Linked DNA regions of Rattus norvegicus. Each later gene encodes a partner of the first gene's protein in a complex. Links are inferred from orthologs where the notes say so. Each region holds a gene or a part of one and is shown in the gene's direction. Other genes may lie near its edges. The genes, in order: Sgf29, Yeats2, Dr1, Mbip and Kat14.

Region 1 (6,052 bases):
TGTGGTTTTGCCAGCTGCAGATAGTTTCTGTAGTTGTGTGACATTTGTAATTTGGGGACTTTTCAGAAGTCATGTAAATGCTAGAGCCCCAAGAGGCAGGGCAGTTTGCCTCCCTTAAGCAGTGGAACACAGAGAAGAAACAATAAGATATCCCGACTTTGAAGATCTAACTTGCCTTAAGGAACTCAACAACCCCTAATCAGCAGAAGCTAGTGTTAATGATAACATTGCTCCCTTTTGACTCCTGACTTTATTCAGTGATCTCTTTCCTCTCCCCTCTATCTTTTTTTTCTCCTACCTAGTGTTAGAGGGTTGAAAGGGTGGAAGAAAAGGGGTGGAGAAAGAGTGAAAAAAGGACCCACAAAGTAGCAAAAGACTGGCTACAGCATGTCTTGTTTCACAATGCATAGGCCATCTTCTGTTTCTTCTTCGCAAAGCCTTTTTCTGTTCTGTTTACTCTGCTACTCATGTTGTGCATGTATACCAATGGGCTTGGTGTGCTTCATACCCAAAAATGTACAGTGCCGCATTCCAGTAGTAAATGGATAATCACGTGCACCTGTAATTTGTCCTGCGTGACTACCAGGGAATTGGATCTGCTTAGTGCACTAATCTTTTTTTTTTTTTCAGACTTATTTTTATTTTATGATTATGGGTGAGTGCCTACATGTTCTCTGTGTGCATACCTGGTGCCTCCAGCGGACAGAAGAGATAATCAGATCCAGAACCTTTGTCCTCTGAAATGGCAGCCAGTGCACTTAACTGTTAAGCCATCTCTCCATTTCCTATATTTTAAAATAGCTTTTTTTCATTCACAAATAAAGAGTGGTGTATGTTTGTGCCTGTAGCATACTGTGACATGTTGGGCATGTCACTGCTCTGTTTTCTTCATTATTACCAAGGATTTGCCAAGCATTTGCTCATTGAAATATGTGTGTGTGTGTGTGTGTGTGTGTGTGTGTGTGTGTGTGTGTATGCACATGCGCACAAGCGCGCTTTGTTTTGAGACAGTGTCTCTCTATGTAGGCCTGGCTAGCCTGGAACTTGCTATGTAGACCAGGCTGGCCTAGAATTTGTAGACCTATCTGCTTCTCCCTCCCAGGTGCTAGACTGAAAGGCATGTATCATACCTTACACACTGGTTGTTCTGCTGGATCACATGGTCTAATGAGCCAATAGGGAGCAAGTCCCAGAAAGTCCTTTTCAGATAATACCCTTTGTAGTAAGTGTACCCTGAAAAATAAGAGTGATGAAATACTGGCACTTTTTTACTAAGTGAAAGATCACAGTAGGTTACATATACTTCATTCTAACTGTGTGGCAATTCTAGAAAGGACAAAACTAGAGAAGTAAAAAGATATTGCCAGAGCCTTGGGAGCATGGGATGGGATACGAGGATAGCAGGGGTGTGGAGGATGCTTAGGGAGGTAGGACTCTTGCATATAGGACTGTGGAGATAGGGACAGATCCCTCAGGACAGTGTAACCCAGAGGGAACCTTAATGTAAACAGGGGGCTTTTGTTAGTGTAAAAGGTCTACCTCATGGCCTCTTGACCTCCTCCTTACAGGAAGAGCGATCGAGAAGTGAGCACAACTTGGTGAACATTCAGAAAACCCACGAGCGAATGCAGACAGAGAACAAGAGTAAGTAATTCAGGGCAGGAGAGAAAGGAGGTGGGAAGGAGCTGCAACTAGGAACAGGAACTTACTGTGTCTCAAAAGCAGTTTTTGCTGTATTGCATATTCCAAAGTTGTTCTTTAGGGTCATTATTCCTTTGGCTGAATGACCTGAAATGACAGGGACTGATGACAGACTGCTCTGCACCAAAGGACCTAGAGTCCCTCAGCTCAGGACTAGAAAGGCAGTCTTGTATGGCAGAGAACTTACCTTACAGCAGAGCTCCTCTATGGCCTGTGCATATGCCCCAAGACAGGCCATCGCCCTGAGCCTGCTGCTCTCTAAGTTAAATTAGCTTTGGACAATGCATACTTCTTCTCAGTAACTGTCATGACATGTCCATGACATGTATGGACAGGTAACAGGTTAGAACGCGCTTTTCAAGAATGATGATGGTGTGTTTACCATATGGAAATGTGATCATGTCGAACAGGAAGCCCCTTTTAGATGTATGTTGGGGTGGTTGTATATACGCATATGTATGCATATGGGTATATGTGCAAAGGCCAACCTTGTGTTTGTTCCTCAGACACCATTCACCTTTTTTCGTTATTTGTTTGTTTGTAGACACAGTACACTATGTAGCCCTGGCTGTCCTAGATCTTATTGTATGCCAGACTGGCCTTCAACTTTTAAAGTTATAGATATCTACTGTGATTTTAATAACAAATGCATCTGGCATGCCTGACTTTTTTTTTTTACTTGAGCTATAGAGCTGGTTCCTGGTACTTGCAAGTGAGGCAAGTTCTGTCCATACTAAGCCATCTTACTAACCTGGAAGCGTGTTTAAACTTCCAGATGCCTGGAATCCAGGCCCTGGCCTCTTCAAGCTGACCCTGGTGTCCTGGAATCAAGGCACATACTGCCACCTCCTCTTGTTCATGCTCCTTGTCCTTGTTTTACAGTTTCTCCTTATTACCGGACAAAGCTCCGAGGGCTCTACACAACCGCCAAGGCCGATGCGGAGGCGGAGTGCAAGTAAGTGTCACTCACGGGGTGCTGCTCTCTCCGTCCCTGTTGCCCGGGCTGGGCCACATATGCTCGGGGACCATGGCCTCAACTTACCTTCTGTCTGTGAAGAGGGTCCCACTCAGCCTTTTCCATTGCTTGAACCTTCCCAAGCTCTTGTTTCATTACCCAGCCTTCCCCTTTAGCTTATTGTTTTATAGATGGCAGTAAAGCTTGTCCTGTCCCCACAACTTCCTAGTCATGTGACCTGACAGTCAGTCAGTTGAATCTCTGTTGCCTTGTCATTACAAACTGGTTAACAACTCTATCAGACTGTGAACATACAGTGGGATTATGGCGAGAATGCCAGATTCTACAAACTGTTCCGGCCCTCCCCTCCTATGAGGTACAGACTATTGCAGCCTGTAATGGAAACAAGGACCACTAGGTGACACTGCTGTGCTCCGGTACCATTCCAAATACTTCAGTTTATTTTATTTTTTTATACTGAGTCATACCATGTAGCCTTGGCCTGGAACTAACCATGTAGATCAGGCTGGCCTCCAACTTACAGAGATTAGCCTCCTTTTGCCTCCCTAGTACTGGGATTGAAGATATGCACCACCATGCCTGGTCTAAATACTTCATATATTTATTTATGTCACTTGATCCTCAAAGCACTCCTTTTTGTAGTTTATAGTGTTGTCCCAATTTACTGTCAAGGAATTATAAAATCTGTCAAAACCCATACAACTTGGAAGCCTGGCTTCTAAGGTAGAAAGTCCACAGAACTCTGCCAGGTGCTGAATAGGGCCTCTCTACTGCACACTTATTTTAAATGAACACATCTCACAGAATTCTGACAAGTTACAGTTAATGTGGCATTATATGTAGCCAATTCTCTTTACCTTTTTTTTTTTTTTTTTTTTTTTTTTTAAGACAGGGTTTCTCTGTGTAAACCTGGCAATCCTGGAATCACTCTGTAGACCAGGCTGGATTAAAGGCCTGCACCACCACTGCCAGGCTTTCTTTTTTTTTTTTTTTGGAGCTGGGGACCGAACCCAGGGCTTTCTAGGCAAGCGCTCTACCACTGAGCTAAATCTCCAACCCCCAGGCTTTCTATTTTTTAGAGCAGGTTGTAGCCAGAAAATTAATTTTAAGCCTTCCTAATAAGTGTTAGCCTGATGTTTTTAGTGATTCCTGCATTTTGAGGGCCATAAGGATGCCCTACGTGGCTTAGGAAGAAGGGTAGTTCACAAGAGCCTGATGTACCACAAGCCTCACTTTAGAGGCCTCTGGGAACCAATAAAGCCTAAAGCTGCAATAAAAAGGGTTGGGGCAGGATTCAAGGCCAGTTAGAGACCAATTCCAAGGTGATGACATGGTAGAAAGGTAGGGAGCAAAGGCTAGCCCAAGAGCAGCAGTTTTTGAGGTTCATTAGGGAGCTAGTTTGCAGACAGGAAGATCTGGATGTCAGAGTTTCTAGTTTGGTTGGAGTGGTCTGACGTGGTTGGGGCACAGAACAGAAGATGGATGGGTTCTACTCCTGCAGAAGAGCACTTGCCTGGGCTAGTGGAGCTTGCATAAGGCAGAGTGCTGCATGTGGGTTGCTTTTTTTTTCTGTTTGTTTGTTTTTTGTTTTGTTTTGTTTTTGTGCGTGTGTGTGTGTGTGTGTGTGTGTGTGTGTGTGTGTGTGTGTGTTTCCTTTTGTAGTGCTAGGGAGAGGACCCAGCACCTTATGCATACTAAGCAAGCTCTGTACTATTGAGTACACCCCCAGGTCTTCATTTGAGAGTAAAAAGCAAGCCGCCCCTTCCTTCCCTGACTGAGCAGAGTGAAGACTCAGACTGGAGTTTGGTATGGAATGTCTGGCATGACTTACCTAGCATTCAGCACTTAGGCAGTTAGGTACACATGGGCCTACATTGAAATATTTTTCCGAATTCAGGTTTTTAGACTCTTAAATAATATAGTCACCCTATAAACATCCAACCAGACCTTCCCAACCTAGCAGCTGGAAGAGAAAAAGCAAGCCAAAGAGATGAGGCTACCAGGTCCAACCATTCAGGGTACTTGCCAGGTAGGTCAGACAAACCCATGCCACTTGGTGTTAGGTAATCAGTAACATACTGTTTCTTATATATCAGATACATTTTTAAAATTTATTATATATCATATATATTGGAACATGATCCTAAAACTGTAATCATCTCAAAATTAGGACATCAGTTCAGATATGAAACTGTGACCCAGAAAACTTACTCAAGTTTCACTATGAGACAGGTCCTGTCCTAGTGCAGATCTCCATCGCTCAGTGTCTTGTTTCGAGTCTTCTTTGATCTGGAACAGTTTTCAGTCTCTTATTCCTTTGTCACTTGACCTTTTGCAGGTTATAGGCTAGTTATTCTGTGGTAGTCCCTCCTATGGGTGTACTTAGTGCTTCCTGACTTCTAGAATCAGGTTTGAGCTTCTGCTTCGGGTGTGTGTAACACAGTAACAACTTTCTATTAGAAGGCCCAAGATACTATTGTCTCATTGCTTGATGTGGGATCTCCCAGGTTTCTGTTTTCCTTTGTGTAATCACCAAATGTCTTGTGGGGAAATGCTTTGTGGCTGTTTTGAATATCCCATTTCACATAACTTCTAGTTTTAAGTACCCTTTTGTTTTTTCCTGAAGGATTGGGCTGGATTCTTGATGGGTTTTGTTGTTTGTTTTGATGTCATGTAGACTGCAGCTTTGGACTTATGACATAAAACTATGTTCTCCAAACAGTCCCACAGCAACATCAGCCTCCTGATGTTCTTTGGCCTCCTGACTATCATTCTTTGCTTTCTGGAGTGCCAGCACCCACAAGCTTTGCCAAGGGTTTGTGGAAACAGAATAACAGTGACCCACAGTGAAGTTGTTCCTGCTGATCAACTTTGGAGCCTTTTCCATAAGAATTCACAAGATCTGAGATAAAGAAACTTCTGGAGAAGCTGTACGCTGTCTACTGTCTACTGCCAGCCTGGAGCCCCTGTAAATTGGCTTCTGGAAGCCAGGCCACCGGACCACACAGGAGTGGGGACGGCTTCAGTCTTACAGGGAATGAGTCCCTGTGACCTGGCCACACTGAGCTGGGCTAGTCTCTCTAGGCTCCTGGTTCCTCCCTTCCCTCTGTACTTGGAACAGCCCTGGAGTTTCCCTGTGTTGTTTACTCCTTACTGTATTGGAATGCCCAAAAGAAGTAACTTAATGGGAAGAAGGATTTATTTTGGCTTCATGCTTTGAGAGGGTTTTCTAGCGTGGAAGGGAAGGCATGGCAGCAGGAACATGAGACTGATGGTTACATTGTATTCAGGAAGCAGAGCTCAGGCCAGAACCCATAAGGTCTATACCTTACCAGCCCTCTTTCTTTAGCAAGGCCCCACCTCCTAAAGCATCCA
Region 2 (6,052 bases), on another chromosome or scaffold:
GATTTATTTTTAAAAAATTTCCAAAAAAAAAAAAAAAACCCAAAACAGAAACAAAACCTTAAGATCTGACTCAGGGTAAAGGTATATCTGAGTGAGAGAATGCTTGGACCCAGTGAGCAACCCCATCTCCTCCTCTGGCCAAAAATGAAAGAAAGGAAAAAAACAGAAACAAAATTTTCCAATGTTGGGCATGGTGGCACACATCTTTAATCTCGGCATTCCAGGTGGACCTCTATGAGTTCTAAGACATCGTGGTCTTTATAATGAATTTCAGGCAGGTGAGGCTACAGAATGAGACTCTGTCTCAAAACAAAAACAAAAAAACTATCCTGCTGAGGGATGGGTACACAGCTGTAATCTCAGTACTTGGAGGTAGGGACAGGAGAACCAGACATTTAAGGTCATCCTCACTAATTGTATTTGAAGCCAGCCTGGGACACATGAGTCTTTGTCTCAAATACCCAGAATAAGTAAAAGTTGGAGAAAAGATAAAAAGTCCTACTTGAGCTTCCATCTCCGAAGGTAATCCTTTTTGGTATCGTTCTCAGTATATTACAGTTATTTCTTAACTAATAAATATGCTCACACTTACTTTTTTTTTGTTTCTTCGTTTTATTTGTAGGTTTTTTTTTAAGGATTTGTTTATTATGTATCATGTCCTTCTGTCTGTATGTAGGCCAGAAGAGGTCACCAGATCACTTTATAGATGGTTGTGAGCCACCATGTGATTACTAGGAATTGAAATCGGGACCCTGGAAGAGTGGCCATCTCTCCAGCCCCTGCTTTTGTTCTTTTGAGACAAGTTTTCTCTCTTGGCTGTTGTGTGAGTCCTGGAACTCAGTCTGTAGACATAGTTGGTCTCAAACTTCAGAGATCCACCTGCCTCTGCCTCTCCAAGTGCTGGGGTCAAAGGCTTATGCCACTAGACCTGGGGTATTTGGGATTTTTAAGACTTTACTGATCAGGGAAGCACACACACTGTCCCCGTCCCCAGTCTGCTCTGGGGTAGAAGTATAAACTCCAGGACTTTGCTTATATACATGAAGTACATCTCCAGCCTGAATCTCTGCCAGTTTAATTAGATGAGGAGTTTTTATTTATTGAAGCAATTCAAGAAGCTGAGTTTTTGCTTTTGTTGTTTGTGTTTGTTCTGTGGATTTTAAGTCGTTATTTGCCGATTTAAACAACATTTAAACTCTCACTTGTTTTTAGCGGCTGATTGAAGCCAGAAGGATGATGGATAAGCTCCGAGCCTGCATTGTAGCAAACTATTATGCATCGGCTGGTCTCCTGAAGGTTTCTGAGGTAAGCGTTCCTCATGGTCCAGGCTATTCTCAGCCACCATTTTCCTTGTCTTGGGGGTAATCAGGACCGTGTGGATTCCCTACCATTGAGACCTTTCTGATATTGGCCTTTAGCATTTAATAAGCCCGAGCACCTTTCTGAGGAACATAGATCACCAGGCAATTTGTTTAACATGGTCCTATCCTTTCAGTACTAATTGCTAGTATAATACTGGCAGGGAAACCTCACTGCAACTCCTCCTGGGTCTTCCTCTTTTGCTTTGCCTTACCCAGCGTGCCTTGCTCTTTCAAAGGCTACTTCTTAATGATAGTTTTCAGTATAAGAGAAAGACAAACATGTTTACATACCATGTAGATTCATCACTTTAAAATTCTATTGTTTTATTTCCTCTAAAGCATTTAAATTAAGGTCTTAGACATCATAACATTTCGGCGCTCACTATAAAACTTTTTTACTCCATTTTCTCTTTCTCCTGGCAGCCGTGTATTAACCCCAGAGTGCCAGTGGAGGACACACAGGCACAGTACCTGTAAAAACACAAAATCAGAGACTATAAAATCAAGCAAATGATCAGTAAGATAAAACAAACAGAAAACCAGATAAAGCACTATCCTGTGGGTGTCCTTCCAGGGTTTCTCTGCATCTAAGGTTCCCTTAAGGAATTAGTCCTGGGTGAGGGTTGCCCTCCGTCTTGCAGTAGGACTTTGTTTTAAATCGATTGCGTCTACAAAGACCCCAGTTTCCCCCTCCTGTTCTCTGTGTGCTCGTGCCTGTAATCAACCCCCGGCTTGCACATGTAATAGGCATATAATGTACAATTCCGTAACGATGACAGCCCTTAGGCAAGTTCTGAATATTCTGGCTGGACGTGAATTGTGGAAGCTGTGTTTTCCACAGTTCTGGCATCACTGATTGAATAGCTCAGTATTGGTTCAGCACAGTGCACATCATGAGCTGCATTTGCGTGAGATAAAGGAGGCGGTAAGCAGATGCTGACCTTGAAAAACTGGTTAGTGGTTTGCTGATTTACCACTGGGATCTGGGCCGTCTGGTTGTCTAGAAATGCACCAGTTTCAGCCCCTGGTGTTCTGATGAAGACCTACCAAGGGCTGGAGATGGCTCAGTAGTTGGCGTTAGTTGGGTTCAGTTCCCAGTGTCCACATGGTGGCTTGCAACTCTCAGTAACTTTACGTTCCGGGGATCTAGCACCCTCCTCTGTCTCCTGCAGCTGTCAGGTATCCACATGTTGCACATGTGTGCATGCACACAAACCACTCAGACAGATAAAATAAACCCTTAAAGATTAAAAAAAGGGACTGGGGATTTAGCTCAACCTAGGAAGCGCAAGGCCCTGGGTTCGGTCCCCAGCTCCGGAAAAAAAAGAACCAAAAAAAAAAGATTAAAAAAAATTCAAGAAATCTTTGGCCAGGCTTTGTGTTATAAAGCCATGTACTTATTTTAGTTTAGAGAACACACAGTACTGAGAAGCACTGCTACCGAATTAATCAGCTCTTTATCTTATTTTAAAACATTAGTCTCTTCACCCACACCACAGCTTTTGTTTTGATTAATAGCTGTGTAACTCCCTCCCCTCCCCCTCCCTCCCTCCCTCCCTCCCTCTCTCTCTCTCTCTCTCTCTCTCTCTCACTCTCTCCCTCCCCGCCCTGTGTGTGTGTGTGTGTGTGTGTGTGTGTGTGTGTGTGTGTGTGTGTGTGTGTGTGTTGTCATGTGTGCACGAGTCTGAGTTGGGATGAAATCTAGCAGCTGCAATCCTCCTGCCTCTGCCTCCCAAGTACTGAGATTCCGTACAGTAGCGCCGTGCCCAGCCAGTGATACTGGTGGTTTTTTGTTTGTTTTTGTTTTGTTCGTGTGTGTTTGTTGTTTTATTTTTTAAATCGTGTGTTTGTATCTGGGTGTGTCCACATGAGAGCAGGTACCAGTGGCGGCCAGAGGTGTCCTGATTCATTCCCTTGGAGCTAGAGTTGAAGTTGTGAGCACATGACATGAATGCTAGAGCACCCAACTGAACAACTGAACTTAGGCCCCTGAGCTAGCCTGAAGGAATGTTCTTCGTTGCTGATTTTAAAGCTTCTACTTTTGTTGTTTTTTAACTCCAGTGTGGGTTTCATTTTTTTATACTGTGTACTTTCATTGTTTGTTTTGAGGCTATATATTCCAGGCTGACCTGGGACTGAAGATGAATTTACTTACTTAGATTCCAAAGACCTTGGGATTGTAGGTGTGCGTGAGCCACAGTGCCTGTTCTATGTCCTTTTAACATCAAATCTTGCTGGGTGTGGTGGACTTACCCTGGGCTCCTGGCCTTCTTGCCTCTACCTTCTGGATGCCAGGATTACCGGCATGCTCCCAAGCTGCATTTGTGTGGTACTACAGAAAGCCTTATTTTACTTTTTGAATGTAGTCCAGGGTGGTCCAGAACTTCAGATTCTCCTGCCTCAGTTTCCTCAGTTTCCTGAGTGATGGATTCATGTGTGTGTGCCCCTACTGTGCCTGGCTCATTTTTGACTTTGAGTGTTAGAACTTTTGCACAATTACTTGTCACTCTAGTTTCTGTTTTGTTGACACAGGCTAAGTATAAGAATTTATGGGTACAGAGAGATTTTGTTCTTTCCTTTTTCTTTCATTTATTTTTGGTTTGAGCCTAGCCTTTACTAGCTGAGCCGTCTCTCCATCAGGATATGGAGAGAGATTTGAAAGGTTGTTAACATGATCTTAACGTAAGTAGAAGTTTTCAGGAGTTAGGTTTTTATCAGTGTTTGTTGGTTTAATTAAGTTTGCTTCTTTCCTTTTTCTAGGGATTAAAGACATTTGATCCCATGGCTTTTAACCACCCTGCTATCAAGAAATTTTTGGAATCACCTTCTAGGTCATCGTCTCCTACTAATCAGAGATCAGAAACACCATCTGCCAATCACTCTGAAAGTGACTCTTTATCTCAGCACAATGACTTCCTATCTGACAAAGACAATAACAGCAACGTGGATGTGGAGGAAAGGCTCTCAAGCATCGGGGAGCAGAGACTGAGCCGGAACACGGGAAGGGTACAGGCTCCAGGGGGAACAGACCTGCTGTTTATTACATGTGGGCGGGACAGAAGTACTTTGATTTTTACAGCAGAGAAAAGGGCCTTTGGTTCTTTGAGATAGGGTCTCAGTCTGGGGCTTACCAGACTAGCCTATAACTTGAGGTATCTCTTGGTGTGTGTGTGTGTGTGTGTGTGTGTGTGCGCGCGCGCGTGTGTGTGCACACTTTGGTGGCATTCTTACTTTAGAGCAAAGCACTCTAGAGTGCAGCATAGCTCTTGGACGTCATTCGTGAAGTTGGGAAAGAACCTTAAGGATTAGAGTCAGATGATTATGGCTGAATGTCTAAGTAGTGACTCCTGTAATTTGTCATACAAAATCCAAAATACACAATTCTTTTCTTGACATGGTTTTGCTATGAGGCCCTGGCCAGCCAGGCACTGATTATGTGGACCAGGCTGGTCTGGAACTGTAGTGATCGCCCTACCTCTGCTTCCCGAGGGCTGGAATCACTGCGCCCAGCTATGATAGTGTGAGTGCCTAAATTGAAGCTACACTGTGCCTGGTTTATTTGGTGTTTTATTTATCTATAGAGTCATAGTCAAGTTAGACCAGTGATGGCATAGCCACAGCTTCAGTTATAAAAGGGAACTTCCAAGTTGCTTTCCATACATTTAGACATCAATGTTTGATTTCATTTTTATAAAAACAAATTGTTATTTTTCATTACAAATTCACTTGTCTTTTGATGAAAAAATAAAACAGGAAGGCAAATTAACGCATACTTTGACACCTCATAATCAGGACTCTGAGAATTTAGATTTACTTGTGTTTGGTCAGCATTCTTTCTCTTACCTCTTAAGCTGGGATTGCAGGCCTGTGCCTCATACCTGGAATATTTGGTACTGGAGCCTGAACCCAAGGCTTGGTACAGGCCAGAGAAGTACTCTATCAACTGTTACATCCCTAGACCCACTAATTTGTTGTTGGTAGTGGTGGTGTTTTTTTTGAGACAGTCCTGGAAACACTCTTTGTAGATTAGGAAGTCCTCAGAACTCAAGTGCTGGGATCAAAGGCATGTGCCACCATGCCCAGCTCTTTCTTTACAAAAGGAAAATCTGCTGGAGGAATAGCCCAGTGGTTAAGAGTACAAGTTGCTCTTCCAGAGGACCTGGGTTTGTTTCCCAGCATCCATATGACAGCTCACAGTCATCGTAACTTTAGTTCCTAGGGATTGACACTCTCTTGTGGCCTCAGTGGGCACCAGGCATACATGCAAGCAAAACAGACATAAAAAAAATATAAATGAACAACAACAACAACAAGCACGCTGCCAGGCGTGCTGGCCCATGCCCACAGTCTGAGCACTTGGAGAGCAGACGAGAGCCGCAGAGCAAGTCCCAGGCCTGCTGGGCTGTAGAAGACCCTGCTGTCTGAGAGAGAACACTTTCTGAGTTCTTTATGCCTCCATTATGGCAGCACCCTATCGAATATTGTTTAAGTGAGCACAACCCTTGGTCGTTTCTTTCAGGACACGTCTAGTATTAGTGGCTCCCACAAACGAGAACTACGGAGCGCCGACCTCGCAGGAGATGAGACTTCCCGACTGTTCGTAAAGAAGACAATAGTAGTCGGCAACGTGTCCAAGTGAGTACCCGAGAGATGCTTCCCATCGGCCGCTCACTTCCACACGAGCACTGGGC
Region 3 (6,645 bases), on another chromosome or scaffold:
GGCTGCATGTATCTGCACCATTTTTTTTTTAAAATCTCATGGTGCTTCCTCTACTCAAGACCTTATTTTGCTTGCAGTTTCCAATGCACTCTGCCCTGCTGTTGCTTTCCCACCGATCCTGTGTCTTCAGGCTGATCTTCAGGCCTTTACAACTCTTCCCCCACCCTGGCCTCTCCCAAGCTGTTTTGCTATTTGCTTCTTTGGTCTTCCCCACCAGATGAAAAGCTCCCTTCCTCGGCCTCAGCCTGGCCTTCAGATGGTGATCTTCTTGTTCACCACAGCCCGTCACTGCTCTTGGAAGTACAGAAGCGCATACTGCTCTTGGAATCCACCACACTTAAATACCATGGAGCATCTAATTCTGATTCTCCCCCTCCTTCCTTGTTTAGTTCTTTGTTGGCATATATTCTTTCTTCACGGCCCTTTGACAAAGTGATATCACCTCTTCCCTTTTGTTTATGTCCTTACAGTTTTCGACTGGACTGTGTTGTCCAGAGTCCATCTTTGAGCTGTCACTCCTCTTTCCTTACCCTCCCCAGTGCTGGCCTTGCAGCCGTGTGGTGCGCCACCATTTCTCACTCCTACTGGTTTGATTTTTTCCAGCGATCTTTCTCAGTACCGTTTTCTCATGGGACTTCATTTACAATAGACCTTTAAATGTGTAAAGTCTTTACTGACATTCCCTTTATATCTTCATACTTCTTTTCCATCCTTAAAGTCTTAGGAACTTTCAAAGTTAAAAATACTGTATTTCTGGTTGTGAGCCTAGCCTTTAACGGCAGAGTGAACACTCTTCTGGTGTATCTTAAGATGGCTACAGTGTACTCATATAAATAAATCTTTTTAAAAATAACTGTATTTCAAACCTGGAGTTGAGCTCATCTGTGGTGACCCAGGCCTTTAATCCCAGCACTCGGGAGGCAGAGGCAGGCGGGTCTCTGAGTTTGTGGCCAGCCTGGTCTACAGAGTAAGTTCCAGGACAGCCAGGACTACACAGAGAAACCCTGATTCAAAAAACAAAAATAAAATACAACAACGAGGATCGGGGTTGCAGATATAAACAATTTAGACAGTGTCTCAGGAGTACTCACAAGCACTCTGTAGATAAGATTCTCATATGTGAAAGTTTCCATATAATAACAGCACAAAATGCCAAGCCACCCAGGTAACAGTCACCTAGGCCTTAACTTTACATCTAGACCTTAATATTTTACCTAAGTCTTAACACATCTCAACCAAAATTTACTTATTTCGAAGAAGAAATTTACTCCTTATAATCAAAGATTAAACTTAGTAGCACTGATAGTGAAGAATGTATGGTTCCCAGGAAGCATCTTGAAGAAAATGTTGAAGATAAAAATTACTCAAAGGCTGGTGTTCTAGGTCAGTGCTGAAGCTATGTCTAGTGAGGCAGGTAGGAGGGGACAATGATAGTCTCCTGGAAACCAAACATCTTAAATTATTGCCAACAGCCCAGCTGCCAATCTGTCTACAAAAAATTACGATAAACTAAACTGTACACGTTGGCTTAAGTGCCTTAGCCCTTTCAAAAGTTACAACGTCCCACTATTTATTAATGGGACCGTATGTGAAGTTTTTTGGTTTTGCCTGTGTTTGTGTTTGGAGACAGGTTTCTTCAGTGTTGCCCTGGCTGTCCTGGAACTTGACTTGCTTGCCTGAGCGTCTCATCTAAAGTGCTGGGATTAAAGCCATCTCCTGGCTGAGCTTTTTTTTTTTAATAATATAATTTCCCTGATGAATGTGGCACTAGTTATTAATAATCACCCGGAAAGAAGCAAGTATCAGACTCGCTTGAGATAAACCAATTTTTTTTTTTTTTTTTTTGGTCTTCTCTCCAAAAGCAAGTGTGCAGAGGGCCATAGCTCATGGTAGGCCAAACTCACAGCTTTGGATCAGACTACTAATTTCTGATTTAGCCGTTTGTGCTACGGAGGGTAGCCACTTATTTGAAAGCTTCGTTTGTTTTTTTTTTTTTTTTTTTTGTCATAAATGAGCACAGGGAGTTCCGATCTGAACGCTGTTAAGCAGTTACAAAGGCCTTTTTCCCCACACGCCGGGATATGCTCCTCTCACTCAGTGCCCTAATTCCGACAGCTAAGGACGTAGGAAAAGGAAGTTCTTCGGTAAAGACCAGGGCTGCTCCGCCACGTGGCCCTCCGATGGCCCTTCGGCCCACACATCCCTCCACAGAGCAGGCGAGCTCCCCTAGGGCCTGATTGAGGAAACGCGGGGACGCAGAGCGCGGGCAGCGACGGGCGGAAGCTGCGGGCTGCCAGCACCGGCGGTTCCCGCCCGCCCGGGCGGGGTGAAGGGCGGGGCGAGCACTCGGAAATCCGTCGAGGAGGGCGGGTGGGACCCCGGGAGTGAGACTTCCGGTGGCGCAAAGCGTGTCGGGATCAGCTTGCGGCAAACCTCCTTCCCCGGCCCGTAGAAAGACCACCGTTAGCGCCGCTTCTGCTCCCACAGCCTGCTCTCGGCCAAACGCTCGGTCGCGGCGACTGCCGCTGCGGCTCCCGCTGTTTTCGGCCCTGTCCACTTGGTTCCCAGGCAGCCAGCGTGCGTTCAGCTGCGGCTTCGGCAGACATGTTGTGAGGCGGCGGCGCGGGTGCCTGAAGGATGGTTTGGCCGAGGCGGCTGCAACCGCTGCTAGTGGCGGTGGCCGCGGGGGCTCCGGCTCTGTAGAGCCGACCCTGCTGTGGTGCGTCCGCCCGGTACTGCGGCCGGGCGGGTACTCCTCGGTCTTGCGTGCGCCCCCGAGCCGTTTAGGTTCGGTTAGGCGACAGCGCCAGTCCGTTTGAGGCGACACGCAAGGTGGTTCTTGAGCCCTGGGAGTGGTGTCCCCAGAGCGAGCCCTCAGCCCCCTGACCTCTCCTTCATATCCGCACTAAAATCTCTCACACAGTGGGTGTTCCCTGCCCTCGAGCCCGCTCCTTCCTGGTTTCTGCTGCACTCTGAGCCTCCCGGACCCCGACATCTCTCTCCAGGGACAGCCTGTTGAGAAATCTTCGTGGAGTGGTGGACTAGAGGGAGGACTTTAAAAGTTAGGGCTTGAAAGACAGGAAGGCACGATGGCTTCCTCGTCTGGCAACGACGATGATCTCACTATCCCGAGAGCTGCTATAAATAAGATGATCAAAGAGACTCTCCCTAATGTCAGGGTGGCCAACGATGCCCGAGAGCTCGTAGTGAACTGCTGCACTGAATTCATTCACCTTATATCTTCCGAAGCCAACGAGATTTGTAACAAGTCAGAAAAGAAGACAATCTCACCAGAGCATGTCATCCAAGGTAAGCAATTTGTGTGGGATTTAATTTAAATGAAGGTCCAGGCTAATAGAGTCACTCCTAGTGTCACGGAGCCTTCATTCCACTTCACTAGTAAGTGCAGTTACCTTAAAATACCTATGTAGCATTCTTCGGACATTTTCTTCATCCAGCTAATGCAAGTAAGAAGTACAAACATTAGGGTCAGCAAACATCCACAACATTTAACCAGTACAGTTTCCGATCAGGTCTTTAAGCAACAAGAATTGACTGCCTACAGCTAAACTTGGATAGTAACAACTGAGAAAGGAACCTCAAAGTTCTCTCTTGGGAAGTTAAATTTTAGAATTTCAAGCACGAGTCGAGTCAGAGAGTATATCTCTTCCCCACCTGTGCTGAGGAAAAGATTCATTTTGAACACAGGGGTAGAAAAAGTTCTTTGGCTGTGAACGGAGGTCAGTGGTATATCATCTACCTAGCATGCACAAGGGCCCTAGGTCCGAGTTTAAAAAAAAAAGTTATCAACATGAGTATGTTCATTGTTGTAAAGTTAATTTCTTTCCAAAAAGTATAATTTTTGCTTTACAAAACGCTGAGGTGGTGGAACAGTTATCACCAGGTAACCGAGTGCCACATTTTTTCCTTTTTGACTTCCTCCAACTATTGATTGTTCTTTGAAAATTATTTGTAAAGGGTGGCTGGGGCAGGGCGGGGACGACAGTACTCGGGCTTGAACCTAGGGCCTGACACATGCTAGTCAGCATTCTGTTGCTGAGCTGCCCAGCCTGTCCTCTGTCCTGCTGCTCCAATTTGGATGTGTCTATGCGTTTAAGCTTTTATGGAAAAACGCTTCTAAAGGTTCCCACAGTTTCTTTCTTACGCTGGAAAGGATTTGGAGTTGGGATTTTGTTTTGATGATTACAGGGAAAGGAGACGAAAGTTGCTTTTGGCAAATTTTGGGAAATACTTTCTGTGGCTTTTCATGAACTCTTATGAGAAAGTTGCATTCAGTTTGGTAAATCACTTCTATTATAAATCTATTGAAAATGAGGACAACTTCTTGATTACTTTTAAGGTTAAAAGGAACAAATTTAATCATATTAGGCAGGTAGTTCGTTGCCATTTTATACATTTAAAAATTTTACTTTCCTGTTGATAGAGAACATATCTGATCATATGGAACATAACCATTTTGCAGTCAGTATTGACAAGAAGGTCACGTGTTTAATTTTTGAGCCTTTATCCTGTGCTGATGGTAGATTTAAAGCACACCTTGCTGTGATGAGGGGGGTCTCAAGGCTGAGTACTTAGCATGGCAGAGGTCAATCCCAGTAGGTAGTAAGAGTCGTGATGATTGATAGATGTGTGTGTGTGTATAATCATATCACATGCACATATACTCTGCCATTTCAGCACATAGCAGATAACTAAGAAAAAAGCAATGTTTTTACTTTAGGTTAGGAAAGGCAAGATGCTAACAGGTTCACACTCTTGTTACCTAGCCTGGCCTTAAACTTAGAGCCTCTTCGTGCAGTCTCTTGGTCCTGGGATCATGGACATGTAACTACCATTCCTGCTGCTTATTTGATTCTTTGGTGTGTACATGCTGAATGAACTTGGGGCCTTGTGTGTGCTGGGCAAGCAATGTCCTGCAGAGCTATCTTTCCAGCTGACATACTTGATTCTTAAAACTAGTATTTTTTTTTCCTACTTGTTTGGTTTGCTGAGTGGTAAGAAAAATGGAAACCAAGTGTTTTGGGGTTTTTTGGTCTTTTTTTTTTTTTTTTTAGTTTTTTTTTTAGTTTTTAAGTCTCTTAGAAGATATTTAACAAGTAGCTAACATTTCCTTTGACTTTTTGTGAAGGAATGGAAGAACCACCTTTTGTCAAGCATCAACTTTTTAATGAAACTGCAGATTTCTGTAGGACCTGCCTAAACACTTGTTTGTACCACAGAAGTGGTGATTGTTCCAAAAATCTAATAACACAATCTGTCTTGTGGGAGGCTCATTCTTTTCTAGGGTATATTTAGAGTTCCGATCGACATGATGATTGAAGTGCAGCTGTAGAAAGCCGTGTACTGGGGCTGGGGATTTAGCTCAGTGGTAGAGCGCTTACCTAGGAAGCGCAAGGCCCTGGGTTCGGTCCCCAGCTCCGAAAAAAAGAACCAAAAAAAAAAAAAAAAAAAAGAAAGCCGTGTACTAAAGTTCAGCTTTGGAGTATGCTAACCAGTTTAATGCATGACTTAGAAAGTTACACTGAAAGGCTGACTCTTCTCCTTTGTGTGATGACGGCAATCCACCAGTGTTAGGATCCACAAATGTACCCTCTTCCTGTAATGTTGCCATTACGTATATAGGAGTTATCCATACCTTTGCTTTAGTGTAGCTTCACTGCCATTTCATACTATGTAATCAATCACCTTAAGTTTTGTTTTGAGAGTCTTTCTCCCCCCCACCCGATTTGGTTGATTTTTTTTGAGATAAGATTTCTCTGTGTAGTCCTGGCTGTCCTGGAACTCCCATTTCCTCAAGACCAGGATGGCCTTGAACTCAGAGACCAGCCTGTCTGTCTCCCAAGTGCTGGGATTAAAGGGACATGCCACCACCACTGCCCAGTTAAAGAAAAAAAGGTTCGTGTTTGTTTCTTTTGCTTGAAAGAGAGTCTCATAGTATAGCCCTGGCTGTCCTGGAACTCAGAGATCTGCCTTTCTCTATCTGCCCTGCCCCTGCCCCTGCCCTGCCCCGCCCCTGCCCCTGAGGGCTGGAATTAAAGGTATATGCCACCACACCTAGTTTATTATTTTTCAGGGCCCTATACATGTTAGGCAAGTGCTTTCTATCTGTTTACTACACCCACAGTCCGAGGCTTTTGTTTTTCTCCTACAACTCCACACTTACTGATGTATTTAGCACTGTGGTGAGAATATAGAAATAAACGATTCTCAGTTCTTAAGTGTTTCCTAGTTTTCTGGGAGTACTGTACCATGGACGACACGATTGCCAGGGGTCTTCATGCCAAGCCGGTGAGGCAGGAATCTACTTTGACCTGCGTTGTCCTGCTGCATTTTAAGTGAAAGATAATCATATTCTACCTCCCACAAATAAGAAACTACAGAAACTAGAGGTTGCTAATTTGCGTGTTGTTTTTAATCCAAAATGTGTTTGTTAGGATGATTCCTTACTCAGATTAATTCAGGTGCTTCTAGGGCTGCTGCTTCTTGGAGTAGTGTGCTTTTCTCAGCCATGCTTTTCTGCCGATAGGCTGACAGAGGACAGTGGAGCAGCCCACCTACAAGATAACCGTTTATGCTTGCTGGAGACTTTAGGGCAGGGATTGTAATGCATCCTGGGCACTTCAC
Region 4 (6,591 bases), on another chromosome or scaffold:
TTTCCAGCAACCCACTCCATAAACTGTAATTAGTTTTCTATAAAAGGACAAATTATTCCCTTTCTAAGTTTCAGTATTATAATTTTGCTATACATTAGTATCTATACATTTCTGTCTCCAATGAGCCCACGAGAATTCACATCTTTTCGTCCTAGAAAGCTTTCTACTTAAAATAGACAGTTTTATTATAAGAGAAGAAAATAAGAAAAATGTCACTGGGCATCAGAAAGGATTAGAAGATGCCATTAGACAGAACACGCAGTGCGTATTCTAAACATTATTTAAGTAAGCAATTATAAAATATAAGAGTGGGTCTGAACTTGGAATAAGAGAATTATTAGGCCGTTGAGAGATAAATCAAATGACCAGTTATTCTTATATTAGGGGTTCAAGAAATCAAGTAAGCAGCTGGCTATGGTGGCACACGCCTTAGATCCCAGCACTTGGGGGGCAGAGATAGGTGGATCTCTGAGTTTGAGGTCAGTGTGGCTCCAGGAGTTCCAGGAGAATCTCGGCTAGATACAGAAACCCTGTCTCGAAAAACAAAGACAATAGGACAACAACAAGATATCAAGTAAGATTTGGAATTTGCAGCTGGAGAAAAAACTCAGTGGTTAAGAATGCAACTGTTTGTTCTTGAAGAGGGCCAGAGTTTGACTTCAGGCACCAACGCTGGGCAGCTCACATCCCATGCCCCCTCTGGCTTCTTTGGGCAACCATGCATGAGAAGAAGCAAACATGCATGCTCGCGCACGCGCGCACACACACACACACACACACACACACACACACACACACACACCCCAAAAATAAAAATTGTGAAATGAAATGCTTAGATTTCAAAATCAGTCCTGACAAAGGAAAGGACGAGAAACACCGTAATCATTCTTGAATGTGTGGTAAAAGTCCTTTATTGAGTAAAAACATCTGATTTTCAGTACTTGGTACAGAACAAGGACTCTTAGGTTCCACATTACAATTGTCACCCATTAACAAGAGAATCAGAGACAAAGCGTGCTAACATTGAAATGAATTGTGAATTTCTATTACAGATATGAGTGACTTGAATGAGTGGGTGCTTGATTTGAGGTTTAATCTGGTGAAGATTGTATTGCCAAGCCTAAGTTTACATTTTACTGCTAACAAGGAAACAGACAAGCTTTCTCAAGATCCTGTTAAGCCCGATAATACCAGAAGTCTCTGGCTATAAGTGAATATGAGGCTCCTTAGACAGGTAAAAGGAGTTCTTTCATTTTTACTGTCCTTATCCCAGTGTTACTTAATTCCTTATTTCTTCCTTCGTTCAGTCTGCTCTCAAACTACATAGAATACCCAGTAACTTCATACTTCTACTTCCAGTAGGCTAAATGCGTTAACTATCACGAAGAAGAGTTCTAAATCTTTTGTTTGTTTGTTTGCTTGTTTGCTTGTTTTTTGAGACTGGGTTTCTCTGTGTAACCCTTGCTGTCTTGGAACTCACTTTGTAGACCAGGCTGGCTTCAAATTCAGGGATTTACCTGCCTCTGCCTCCCTAGTGCTTTGGTACTGAAGGCCTGAGCCACTGCCACCAGGCAAGTTTTAATTTTCGTTTTAAGTTTCGTCCTTTACCTCTTAAACTTGTTTTAAAATTTTAAGAGACCTCTTCATTATAAAATTATAACTTTTCAGTAAAATAAAGCTATCTAATAATATCCGATGAGTGTTGATCCAGTTTATATCTTAACGTGAGTGTGGTTACATGGAATAAGTTGGTTTATATTTTTATAAACAATTTTAGGCACCAATTTCCAGTTATTTCACCGAGAAACTGTTGCATGTCAGAACTTTGACATAACTCTGTTTTGCAGATGTAGTTATCAATGTCGTTCTATGGTAGGGAAAAGAGGCATAATGTAGCCCTTTCGTGGTTTTTTTGTTTGTTTGTTTGTTTGTTTTTGTTTTTTTTAATTCTTCGTAACAACAATCTTGTAGAGATGAAAATGTTCTGTCCAGTTACGATCATCCTGGGTATAGTTTTCAGTAATTAGAAAATTGTGAGCACTGCTCCACACTGACCCGCATTTTTTTTCCAAGACAACTCCACCCTGCCATGTTAGCAGTTTAAATTTTAATAGTGGGACCCAAATTCTAACACTTAACAGTAAGGCTCTGCCAGCATTCACGGGGAGCATCTAAGAGCTAAGTGAGTTTCTAAGGCAAAGCCGTCTACTGAAAACACCACCAGATAGTAGGTCCTGCTTAGCTCTCAACAGCACTCACTCATTCCCTCCGAGCGCGGATATCCTTGCTCTTGACTGGTCTTTGTGCACGTCTGTCACACACAGAGGGTGGGGCCTACCCTCGGGTCTAAATGAGACGCTGTAGTTTTACGTCATCTCGGTGAGACGAAATCCGCGAGGGAGGGGTCGGGGTGAGCACTCTTCGCAGTGGTTGGGGGCTGCTGTGAAGGTGTCATGGCTGCTACTGCGGAGCATAGTTCCTCGAGCAGCTGCGAGAAGAACCTAGAGCGAAGCTCCAGCCCCCTCCTCACCCGCGAGGTCCTCTGCGAAGTCTTTCGCTCCTTGCACACCCTGACAGGACAGGTAAGTGGAGGTGCGGCGGAGGTGGGGTGGGGTGGGGTGGGATGGGGTAGGGTGGGGAGCACCCTGTCCTATCCCCTTAGTTCTCTCTGAGGAGGGGGCGCGGAGCCCCCTGGCACGGTGTGTGCCGCTGGTGTGCCAAGGCCGGGCTGCCGAGACCCGGAGGAGCCCGGACCCAGATGCCTGGGACCCTGAGATGCCAGCGGCACACTAGCTGACCGAGCGTGAGTACCAAGGTCTAGAGAAAAGCGGGGTCGTGGCGCCGAACGCTTGCAGAAAATTGATACCCAAAAGATGAAGGTTAAGGAGGCTCCTGACGCTTCCTTTCGCCTCCAGTGTATTTAGAGAAATTCACTGGTTAATATGGCCTGAAACTTTTTCTAGCGCCATCTCCACTCATTCGGGGTGACTGACTGGGTTTTATTTTTTTTTTTATTTTTTCTCCCACCATTTATTGCATCTCTTACTCTTTTTACGGGGAGAGATGTATAAGGATTTCCACAATTTCATTTGTAGTATGCCTAAATTTTACTGTGAATAGCTGGATGAGTTATGTGCGGCCACTTCTAACTACATTACTGCTGTTGTGTAACTTAGCTAATTGCTCTTTACAGAAATGTCACAGTGAAACTGAATTTTAAAAACTAGGTTGCACTTTACTAGATAGTCATTCATAGTGTAAATGAGGCAATTTTTAAATAAGGAACAAAAGTACGTTTGCTTGCTTTTAGAAGTTTTGCGTCAAACATGTTTCCTGGTTTGTCTGGGGGCTGGTATAGTGCATGAAATGGACACAGCACACATATATGTCAAGGGCAGTGAGAATAGGGCATTTACCTGATTTGTGAGAATTATTTTTGAAAATCTTAGTAAGTTTATTTTGACTGGCTGAGTACTTGAGTTGTACATTCTGTTTGGTGTTATAAGGCAATTATTACTGGACTTTTAAAAGTTAAAAAATTTAAACTCTGCTTAATAAGCAATTATGAAAAAATTAATTACAGTCTTTCCTTATTAATAATATTTCAGTAGTAACATAACAGATCTTTAAATAGTTTAAAAGTTAGAGAACTTTTTGGCATGGATTTGGAACTTGTTCATTCATATACTAATGTAAAGATGAGAAAAATATTCTTGAATATTATGCTTAGAAGTTGCAAAATAATTTACATTGATAAATTATTTGAATATCTAAATTTTGCATACCAAATTTTTCAAAATTATATAAATTTATTTCAAAGGTTCAAATGGAAAAATGATTAAACTTAACTTACACCACCTGCCAAAAATGTTTAGAGAAAATGTTTTTTAACAGTAAAGAGACCTTTATACATGTGTCAAATATGATTTATTATTTATTTTAGTAATAGCATGTATTTTTAGATGCATGATTAATGATGAAAGCCATCTATGCTTAAAAAGTTGCCCCTGTGGAATGTGTCTTTTGCAACAAATTAAAAGGATTTTTAAGATATAAATTGTATTATGCCTAAGTTTATCTTAAGTATTGAATTACTAGCTCTTTTTGATCTAAAATGTAAAACTGAATTGTTAAAAAGTATTTTTTCTCCAAATGCAAAATATACTAATACTAACCTTTTTCTTCTCTCTCATTGGCCCAAATTACAAAGCTAAAGATTTTCTGTTAGTTTAAAGTAATGTGTTTCTACTGAACATACATAATTGAATAGACATTGTTAATAGTATATTAATAGAAAATCTTGAATTCCTAGTTACTGTCCCAAGAGTTATGGGGTAAAAATTCATAGACTCCACATGTTACTAGGGAATTTGCTGAATGTTTTGGATATATTTGGGGGTCATTTTTAAGTTAATTTGTTACATTATTGTTTGGTTTCCATAAAAGACCAAGTATCTTGAGTTGCCTTTGAAAGCTTCTATAATCCTTCCAAATTGACATGAAAATATGATCTAAATATTAAGATTTCTTTCCTATAATTATTTTCTCTAGAGAAGGTGATACTTTGCTTTGCTTTAAGACTTGCCTGTTTATTCCCCAAACATAAATTTGCCTTGGTCAACTATAGATCCCCTGACTGTAAATGCATGCTGATGGAGTACCTTTATACACAATAATAAATTCAGTTATCTTATTAATTAACCTTACTGTCAAATCTTAATTTAGTATAAGTTTGTCTTTGTCAGTATAGCCTGTGTAAAATTTTGTATTTCTTTATGTTTGCCAAATGTAGACTCAGATGCCTCTGGTCTCAGGCAGTAGGTCTCTATCCATTACTTATACAGTAGAGTGCTTAACAGAGGAACCTGAGATCTCTTTGGTTCCATGGACAGCGATTCATGTCTTGGTTTTTTATTCTTACAGCTCATTAAATTATATTTGAGCTCATGAAACATCTTTACTTTGTGGAAAATATGACTAAATTTTAATAAATTATTCTTACAAAATAAGTATAATTAACTTGCTTCCACTTGGATTGTGTCCAGAAAAGTTTATAGAGATTCCCTCATATTCAGTCAAATTATTACAGGTGGAAGCTTCTCCCTCTAAAATTTGACAGATTTTGATATTAATTTTATATTCAGTTCTTGGTAGTTTTCTAGATATACATTTGCCCTAATAAATCACTAGTTGATGAGAAATTTTCATGGTATGAGATATATCTTTCTAGAAAATCCTTAGGAAACATTGGGCATCCACTTTTGGCTTTGTTAACACTGCTGTGGGAAAGTACTTGTTTTTTTAACCTCAATAATTTCATAACTGATAATTAGATTTTTATTTGTAATTACTGTCATCTATCCCTATGTGTGAATAATCTTTAGTTTTAAATTTTTAATTGGTTAAATTTGAAAACAATAAGAGTGATTGAGAAGACATCAGGGTAATGACTTATTTTAGGCATGTGTTTGTGTGATACGTAACAAAGAGAATACTTTCTGGAAGGCAGTAGTTGATCTCCGTCTGTTGAATGCCTAGGATTCTGATTAGGGCAGACCTATTTTTGGATACCTTCCAAAGGTATTTAAGATATCAAAGTATCAAAAGAGGCTATGGCTTCTCAAAGATGGCCCTATTATACAGACGTAGAAACCAAATTAAAATAATAAGACATGTTTTTATCTTTTTTATTTTCAAAGCTGTGCCTTTTAGCTTTTTAAAATAGCAACTACAGAAAGCATTTTATTATGTCATTGAAACTTAGTAACTTGAGCAAAATAGGCATGCATTACTCTATAGAAATCTTATTTTTGTGATAATCCCAGATATATAGCTTAATCGTGTAATTTTTGTGATGTTGCTACTTTGCCTCTTTGAAGCTTAACCTCAGAGATGATGTGGTGAAAATTACAATCGATTGGAACAGGCTCCAGAGCCTCTCAACATCCCAGCCTGCACTGCTCCTTACTGCACTTGAACAACACGTTTTGTATTTACAGGTAAATTTCATATTAGAATGTTTACTGGATATTCAAAATAGAAATTAACTGTAGTTTAATTAGCTGGAGTATTTTTCAGTTCTACCTCAACATTCTGTTAACAATAACTGTTATTAGTAAAAGGTTGCAGAAATCCATATTGAGTCTAGGTCTGTTAATTTCACTAGTGATTGGGATAGTTATGAGAATATAGCCCAACAGACCGATGTGGGTTTGAGAGTGAATAAATGCAATTCTATTCAATTCTGGGCTTTGCTGAAAATTCAATACAGTTCATCTATGGTGGGTTATAATTAAGCAATAAGACGCGGCAGGTGTGAGTCATGCTATGATAATGATTCCATGCCTTGGGTGAGTTGGGAGGCTCATGGAGTGCTTTCAGTGGTTCAAGAAGTGGCATTATCCCAGCATGACACATCCTGGAGTGTCTATTGCAATTAAACAGTTTCAGCGTAGTTTTTAAAAAGAAAGTAATTTCTGTGACATTAATGTTTCATCTTAGTGAGTAGCCAGTCACTATTTCATCTTAATAATTTGAAATAATTTATCCTTTATTGGAAGTCAATATTGAATTATTTATCATGGTATTGTT
Region 5 (6,052 bases), on another chromosome or scaffold:
TTTGAACTTGAGGTTCTCAGTCTACTACTAGAATCATACACACCCAGCTAAAACTTTCTGAAAGACAGGTAGGGAAGGTTTTTGGTTGGGGCATTTGCTGAACATTTCTGTGTATTGAACATGATACCAAAAGTATGTTATGAGAGAAATAGTTAATATTTAAAAAAAGTTATGCAATTAAGAGCGCTTGAGGCTTCTGCAGAAGACCCAGGTCCATTTCTCAGTACCTACGTCAAGGTGGCTCACAACTACCTGTATCTGGCTCCAGAAAATGTGGTGCCTCTAACTTCAGTTTCTTTCAAAACCTATTTTTAATGATGGTTCTTAAACACTTTAACCTCCCTGTAGCCCACCACCCACCAGAGGTTGTGGGAAAGAAAGGATATGGGGACGTGGAGCTGTTAGAAAGGTTCTTTGAGGGGTTGGGGATTTAGCTCAGTGGTAGAGTGCTTGCCTAGCAAGCGCAAGGCCCTGGGTTCGGTCCCCAGCTCCAAAAAAAAGAAAAGAAAAGAAAAAAAAAAAGAAAGAAAGAAAGAAAGAAAGAAAGAAAGGTTCTTCGGAGCGACTCCTGTCTGTGTTGTCTGGAAATCGGCTGTTCAGTTCATAGGTCAGCAGCTCAGCAGCTCATTCCTTCACGAACCTGCCTTAGCCTTTCACCTGTGTCCACTTCAGCTAAATGTTCCTCACCTGTTTGCCTCAGCAAAACAGCCAACTGACTTTCCAAAGAACCCTTAAGTTTCCACTTCAGGTGCCTTCTCTCACCTGTATTTTAAATGCCCAGAAACACATACATATGCATAAAAATAAAGTGTATTTTTGAAAGGAACAGTTAACATAGAAATTAGATATTTATTCTTTCCTGGCAGCTTCAAAACCAACACTGGATCCCATCATTACCGTTGAAGGACTCAGAAAACGAGCAAGCCGGAATCCTGTGGAATCAGCCATGGAATTGAAAGAGAAGCGGTCTCGAACACAGGAAGCTAAAGACATCAGAAGAGCACAGAAAGAAGCAGCCGGCCTCCTTGACAGAAGCACCTCTTCTACCCCTGTCAAGTTCATAAGCCGAGGCCGGAGGCCGGATATGATTTTGGAGAAAGGAGAAGTGATTGACTTTTCATCCCTGAGCTCCTCGGACCGTACCCCCCTCACAAGCCCCTCTCCTTCTCCCTCTCTGGATTTCTCTGCCCCAGGGACACCAGCGTCACATTCTGCCACGCCTAGCTTGCTCTCTGAAGCAGACCTCATCCCAGACGTGATGCCACCCCAAGCTCTATTTCATGGTAAGCCTTGCCGTGTTTTCCACTCGGGTGTGAGTTGTGCTCTGCCTTCCTTCTTTCCCGTGTCTTGACAGTACTTTCTGCTTTGCAGATGATGATGAGCTGGAAGGAGATGGAGTCATAGACCCAGGGATGGAGTACATCCCACCCCCAGCTGGGTCAGCTTCTGGGCTGATGGGGAGCAGAAAGAAGGTCAGAGCTGCAGAGCAGATAAAACAGGAAGTCGACAGCGAGGAGGAGAAGCCAGACAGGATGGATGGAGATAGCGAAGACACAGATTCAAACACTTCTTTGCACACTAGAGCTCGAGAAAAGAGGAAGCCACCCCTGGAGAAGGACACGAAGCCCAAGGGGCCCAGGTATACGCCTGTGAGCATCTATGAGGAGAAGCTGCTGCTCAAGAGGCTGGAGGCATGCCCTGGTGCCGTGGCCATGACTCCAGAAGCCCGGAGGCTGAAACGGAAGCTGATCGTCCGGCAAGCAAAAAGGGATCGGGGCTTACCACTGTTTGACTTGGACGAGGTTGTGAACGCAGCACTTCTGTTAGTGGATGGGATTTATGGAGCCAAAGATGGAGGAGCTTCCCGGCTTCCAGCTGGACAAGCTACATACCGGACCACCTGCCAGGACTTCAGGATCCTTGACCGGTACCAGGTGATGTGGTGTGGGGAGGGAGTGGGGCTGGCAGCACCAGGCAGTAGATGCCGTTTCCGTGACATTTGTTATTGTGAGTGATTCGGGGAAAAGAAAGCAAGAAAATCTTCCTGTGCTCTTGTTCCAAAATTGTTCATCATTTAATGCCCCTTCATGTACGTGGGTTTCTTTCTCACTTGGCACTTAAGGACTAGCCTAGTCATTTCTTGTCTGTCTCCTTTGAGAGTGTCTATATGAGGTCTGTTTCATGGTTTTGATTGACAGATTTGTTGAGGACATGTAGTAGCCTAGACCCTATTGAGAGGAGCTGTGGGTGTGTAAGCATCTATGTCCTTAGGCCTCTTCATGAAGAAGTACGGAGTCAGCATTACTCACAGGGTGAGTTCCACCAGTGCTCTGACAACATTAATTTCACTGGGGACTGCTAGGCTGCCCCACCAGCAGCAGTGACCTAGTTTTACTACACTTGACCCTCATCTGCCTTAACCAATCAGATGGCTGTGAAGTGTAACCTTATCTCATTTACGTCTCTTTGATTAGGTTGAACATCTTGTGTTTCCTGTTTGTTTCTCTGTAAATTGGTTTATGAGAATCTTTGACACTTTCCTCTTGTCCTCTCTAGACTCTCTTGGGAATCTTTGTCACATATCTGATTGCCAGTGACATGCCAAGCACCAGGCCTTTTCCTCTGGGTGTGCTTGGAGCTTGTGTGTGGGCCCTTTCTGGAGCTGTCTCCATTTCCTCTTCTGCTTCCTCTATCTTAGGAATCTGTTTTGAATGGCATCCCTCCCTCCTGTGTAAAAGTGCTGATAGTAGGTACCCTGGGCTCTGTACACCACATAGTCCGGGCTGAACCGAGACCCACCTATGATGAAGCAGCTGTGGGAGTGAATGAATGTCTGCGGCTGTGCCCACCCCAGTGAGTTCCTCCACTAAAATGGGCGAGGGCTGGGCTTGGCCTTCAGGTATCCATCACCACAACTGCTCCTCTAGGTTCTGACCTAAGATGTGTTTTTCTCTACTGTTAGAGTTGTATTGTTGATGGCCCTTCCTTGCTCTCTTTGCTCTTGTGTTGTTTATGTAAATGTTAGTGAACTCCGATTTTTATTTATTTCTTCTTGCTGGACTTCTTTCTTTAGCAGTTCCTTACAACATGGTCTCTTTTTTAGAATTATTTATTTTGGGGTTGGGGATTTAGCTCAGTGGTAGAGCGCTTGCTTAGCAAGCGCAAGGCCCTGGGTTCGGTCCCCAGCTCCGGAAAAAAAAAAAAAGAAAAGAAAAAAAATTATTTATTTTATTTATATGAGTACACTGTAGCTGTCTTCAGACACACCAGAAGAGGGCATCAGATTCCATTACAGATGGTTGTGAGCCACCATGTGGTTGCTGGGAATTGAACTCAGGACCTCGGGAAGAGCAGTCGGTGCTCTTAACTGCTGAGCCATCTCTCCAGCCCCAACATGGTCTCTTTTAACATTTATTTATTATTTATTTGTGTGTGTGTGTGTGTGTGTGTGTGTGTGTGTGTGTGTGTGTGTGTGTGTATACCACAGGTCCACTCAAGTCCACGAGTTTAACTAGGGTCCCTGTTTTAGTTTCTTTACCTACTGCTGTGAGAAAACACCCTGACAAAAGTGGCTTAAGGGAGAAAGGGTTTCTCTTGACTCATGGTTCCATGTACAGTCCACCATAGAGACGAAGTTGGAGCATCGAGAGTTGAAGGGAGCTAATCGGATGGAATCTTCTGTCAGGAACAATCAGCAGTGAGTTCATGCTGCTCAGGTCCTTTTCTGTCACCTAGCTAGGTAATGACCCCACCCACAGTGCACAGGTCTTCCCTCTTAGATCACGCCATCCGGTAGGATAACCCCAGCAGGCATTCTGCGGTGCCAGTGTCCCAGGTGCTCCAGATTAAGGCTAGTTGACAGTTAACACTAAGCAGCACAGTTTCTTGCAGGAATGCAAAAAGGGTTACTTACAGGAGCATGGGCACTTGGTGGGCAGCTGTACCACTGGAGGGGAAATCTCTTCATTAATGTTTATAAATCTGGGACAGAGGGCTGGGGGGATGACTCAGTGGTTAAGAGCACTGGCTGCTGCTCTTCCAGAGAGCCTGAGTTCAATTCCCAGCAACTACATGGTGGCTCCCAACCATCTGTAATGAGATCTGATGCCCTCGTCAAGCATGCAGGTGTACATGCACATAGAGCACTGTGACATAAAATAAATGAATAAATCTTTTTTTTTAAAGGGTGTGTGCCACTATATATATTGGCTTGGCCAATAAGTAATTTTAAAACACCTTGGGTAGAGGAGTGACCTCATGAGCACCCTGTGTTAACTAACCATTTACGGTCTATAGCTTAGAGGAGGGGTGTGGCTTCGTGAACCCTTCCCCACCCTGTGTGGACAGTGAGTGAGTTCAGTCTTGTTTAGGTTACCTCAGGTAATCATAGCTGCTGACGGCCCTAGAGGGCACTGGCCATGGCATGTCTGAAGAGTGGCATTCCACAACAGAGCTGTCTGGTATGCTGTGTCGTATTATGTGAGCTTCCTCGATCTGCAGTTTGGTGCTGACACTAATTAGAGTTGTAACTGCTTCACGTGTTTTCTGTCCCCATTCCTTCTGGTATTCCTGTCATTCTTTTCTAGTTTCCCACAACTTTTGGACGTTCTGTTCCACTCATTCTTAGTCTTTGTTTCTCTGCCTTTTGGTTTGGAAATGTTTTATTGCAGATGCTCAAGCTTAGAACGACTCTTCTAAACTCTTTAGAAGGTTATTGATTAGTCCACTGTCAAAGACATTCTTAGTCTCTGTTGCTATTTTGCTCTCTGCATTAATTTACTTCTTCTTTCTTAGGACTTTCCAGCTCTTTCTAACCTACCGTCTGCCCTTTCACGCTTGCCCCTTAGAGCATATAACGTACCAGCTACAACTGTTAAATGTCTTTCCCAGGAATCTCAGAATCCTGCTATGAGTGTGCTTCTGGAGCTTGCTCTGTCTCTCCGAGGGGAGAGCAGAAGCCTGGTCTAGCCATGGTGTCTCAGTGTTCTATAAAGAGGCCCTGCTCTGTCACTTCCATTTTCTTATTCCTGATCAGCTCAGGCAGCTACCCCTACCCATGCTCCCAGGCGTCCGTGCCACTCTCTATACCTCTAATACTCTTCTTGGGATGTGGAATGCTCAGGTCACCTTAGTAGTGCCTTTCCTCTGTCTCAAGAGTCCAGCAGACAGTCACCTACTCAGAGCAGCCCCTGAGAGGGGTGTAATGAGGCCTTTCTGGCCCCTTTGGTGCAGAGCCTGCTCTGTTCTCATTGCACTGTTAGCTTTAGCCAGCTTTTTCTTCATAGGCTTTTCCTCATCCCGCATTAGTATCCGTGGTCTCACCAGGTTTGCACACCTAAAGAAGCACATATAATGCTGTCACACGTTACTTGACTTTGAAGCTGTTTTTTCTTCCCCACTTGGCGATTTAGTAAATGTAAATTAAATAGTTTGAGCCAGGCACTCTTTTAACTGGGCTGTCATGGTGAATCAATGCTAGGTTTCTGTCCTCTGCAGTGGACGTTCTCAAACAGGGGAGGGATGGGGTTGACTCACTGAGCTAAGATCCACCGGCTGAGGATGTCTGTACGTGTGCACACACACACACGTGTGTGTGTGTGTGTGTCTGTGTCTGTGTGTGTGGTGTGTGTGTCTGTGTGTGTGTATGGTGTGTGTCGGTGTGTGTGTGTGGTGTGTGTGTGTGTCTGTATGTGTGTGTGTGGTGTGTGTGTGTGTGTGTGTGGTGTGTGTGTGTGTGTGTGTCTGTGTCTGTGTCTGTGTGTATGGTGTGTGTGTGTGTGGTGTGTGTGTCTGTGTGTGTGTATGGTGTGTGTCGGTGTGTGTGTGTGGTGTGTGTGTGTGTGTGTGATGGAAGGACTTCTGTGTTCCTGGGAATTAAAACCATCCTCTGATAGAGGTAACCTTGCAAGAAGTGCTGACAAGGAAATGCCAGGAGGCAGAAAACTGGATGGAAGGCCAGACACAGGCCCTGAGGCATGAGAAGGACTGGGAACATCTTGATGACATAGCAGTGTGGTCCTAGGAAATGAGACCAGAGTGTAACAGAGTCAAG

The links.
Region 2: Sgf29 (region 1) and Yeats2 share a complex: the UniProt entries of both Homo sapiens proteins name them as parts of the ADA2A-containing complex. The link is inferred for Rattus norvegicus from reciprocal best matches to the Homo sapiens genes SGF29 and YEATS2.
Region 3: Sgf29 (region 1) and Dr1 share a complex: the UniProt entries of both Homo sapiens proteins name them as parts of the ADA2A-containing complex. The link is inferred for Rattus norvegicus from reciprocal best matches to the Homo sapiens genes SGF29 and DR1.
Region 4: Sgf29 (region 1) and Mbip share a complex: the UniProt entries of both Homo sapiens proteins name them as parts of the ADA2A-containing complex. The link is inferred for Rattus norvegicus from reciprocal best matches to the Homo sapiens genes SGF29 and MBIP.
Region 5: Sgf29 (region 1) and Kat14 share a complex: the UniProt entries of both Homo sapiens proteins name them as parts of the ADA2A-containing complex. The link is inferred for Rattus norvegicus from reciprocal best matches to the Homo sapiens genes SGF29 and KAT14.

Annotation. Positions count from the first base shown.
Region 1 is NC_086019.1:190,692,085-190,698,136, forward strand, and holds part of Sgf29 (SAGA-associated factor 29), read left to right. Parts: intron 1-1,568; coding exon 1,569-1,644; intron 1,645-2,583; coding exon 2,584-2,656; intron 2,657-5,399; coding exon of another isoform or gene 5,400-5,424; exon of another isoform or gene 5,425-6,052. UniProt on the Homo sapiens protein: Chromatin reader component of some histone acetyltransferase (HAT) SAGA-type complexes like the TFTC-HAT, ATAC or STAGA complexes.
Region 2 is NC_086029.1:94,313,546-94,319,597, reverse strand, and holds part of Yeats2 (YEATS domain-containing protein 2), read left to right. Parts: intron 1-1,212; coding exon 1,213-1,305; intron 1,306-4,121; coding exon 4,122-4,367; intron 4,368-5,880; coding exon 5,881-5,996; intron 5,997-6,052. UniProt on the Homo sapiens protein: Chromatin reader component of the ATAC complex, a complex with histone acetyltransferase activity on histones H3 and H4. YEATS2 specifically recognizes and binds histone H3 crotonylated at 'Lys-27' (H3K27cr).
Region 3 is NC_086032.1:1,610,380-1,617,024, reverse strand, and holds the start of Dr1 (protein Dr1), read left to right. Parts: upstream 1-2,468; 5' UTR 2,469-3,089; coding exon 3,090-3,309; intron 3,310-6,645. UniProt on the Homo sapiens protein: The association of the DR1/DRAP1 heterodimer with TBP results in a functional repression of both activated and basal transcription of class II genes.
Region 4 is NC_086024.1:79,556,254-79,562,844, reverse strand, and holds the start of Mbip (MAP3K12-binding inhibitory protein 1), read left to right. Parts: upstream 1-2,370; 5' UTR 2,371-2,453; coding exon 2,454-2,582; intron 2,583-5,879; coding exon 5,880-5,999; intron 6,000-6,591. UniProt on the Homo sapiens protein: Inhibits the MAP3K12 activity to induce the activation of the JNK/SAPK pathway. Component of the ATAC complex, a complex with histone acetyltransferase activity on histones H3 and H4.
Region 5 is NC_086021.1:152,220,438-152,226,489, forward strand, and holds part of Kat14 (cysteine-rich protein 2-binding protein), read left to right. Parts: intron 1-866; coding exon 867-1,283; intron 1,284-1,371; coding exon 1,372-1,934; intron 1,935-6,052. UniProt on the Homo sapiens protein: Component of the ATAC complex, a complex with histone acetyltransferase activity on histones H3 and H4. May function as a scaffold for the ATAC complex to promote ATAC complex stability. Has also weak histone acetyltransferase activity toward histone H4.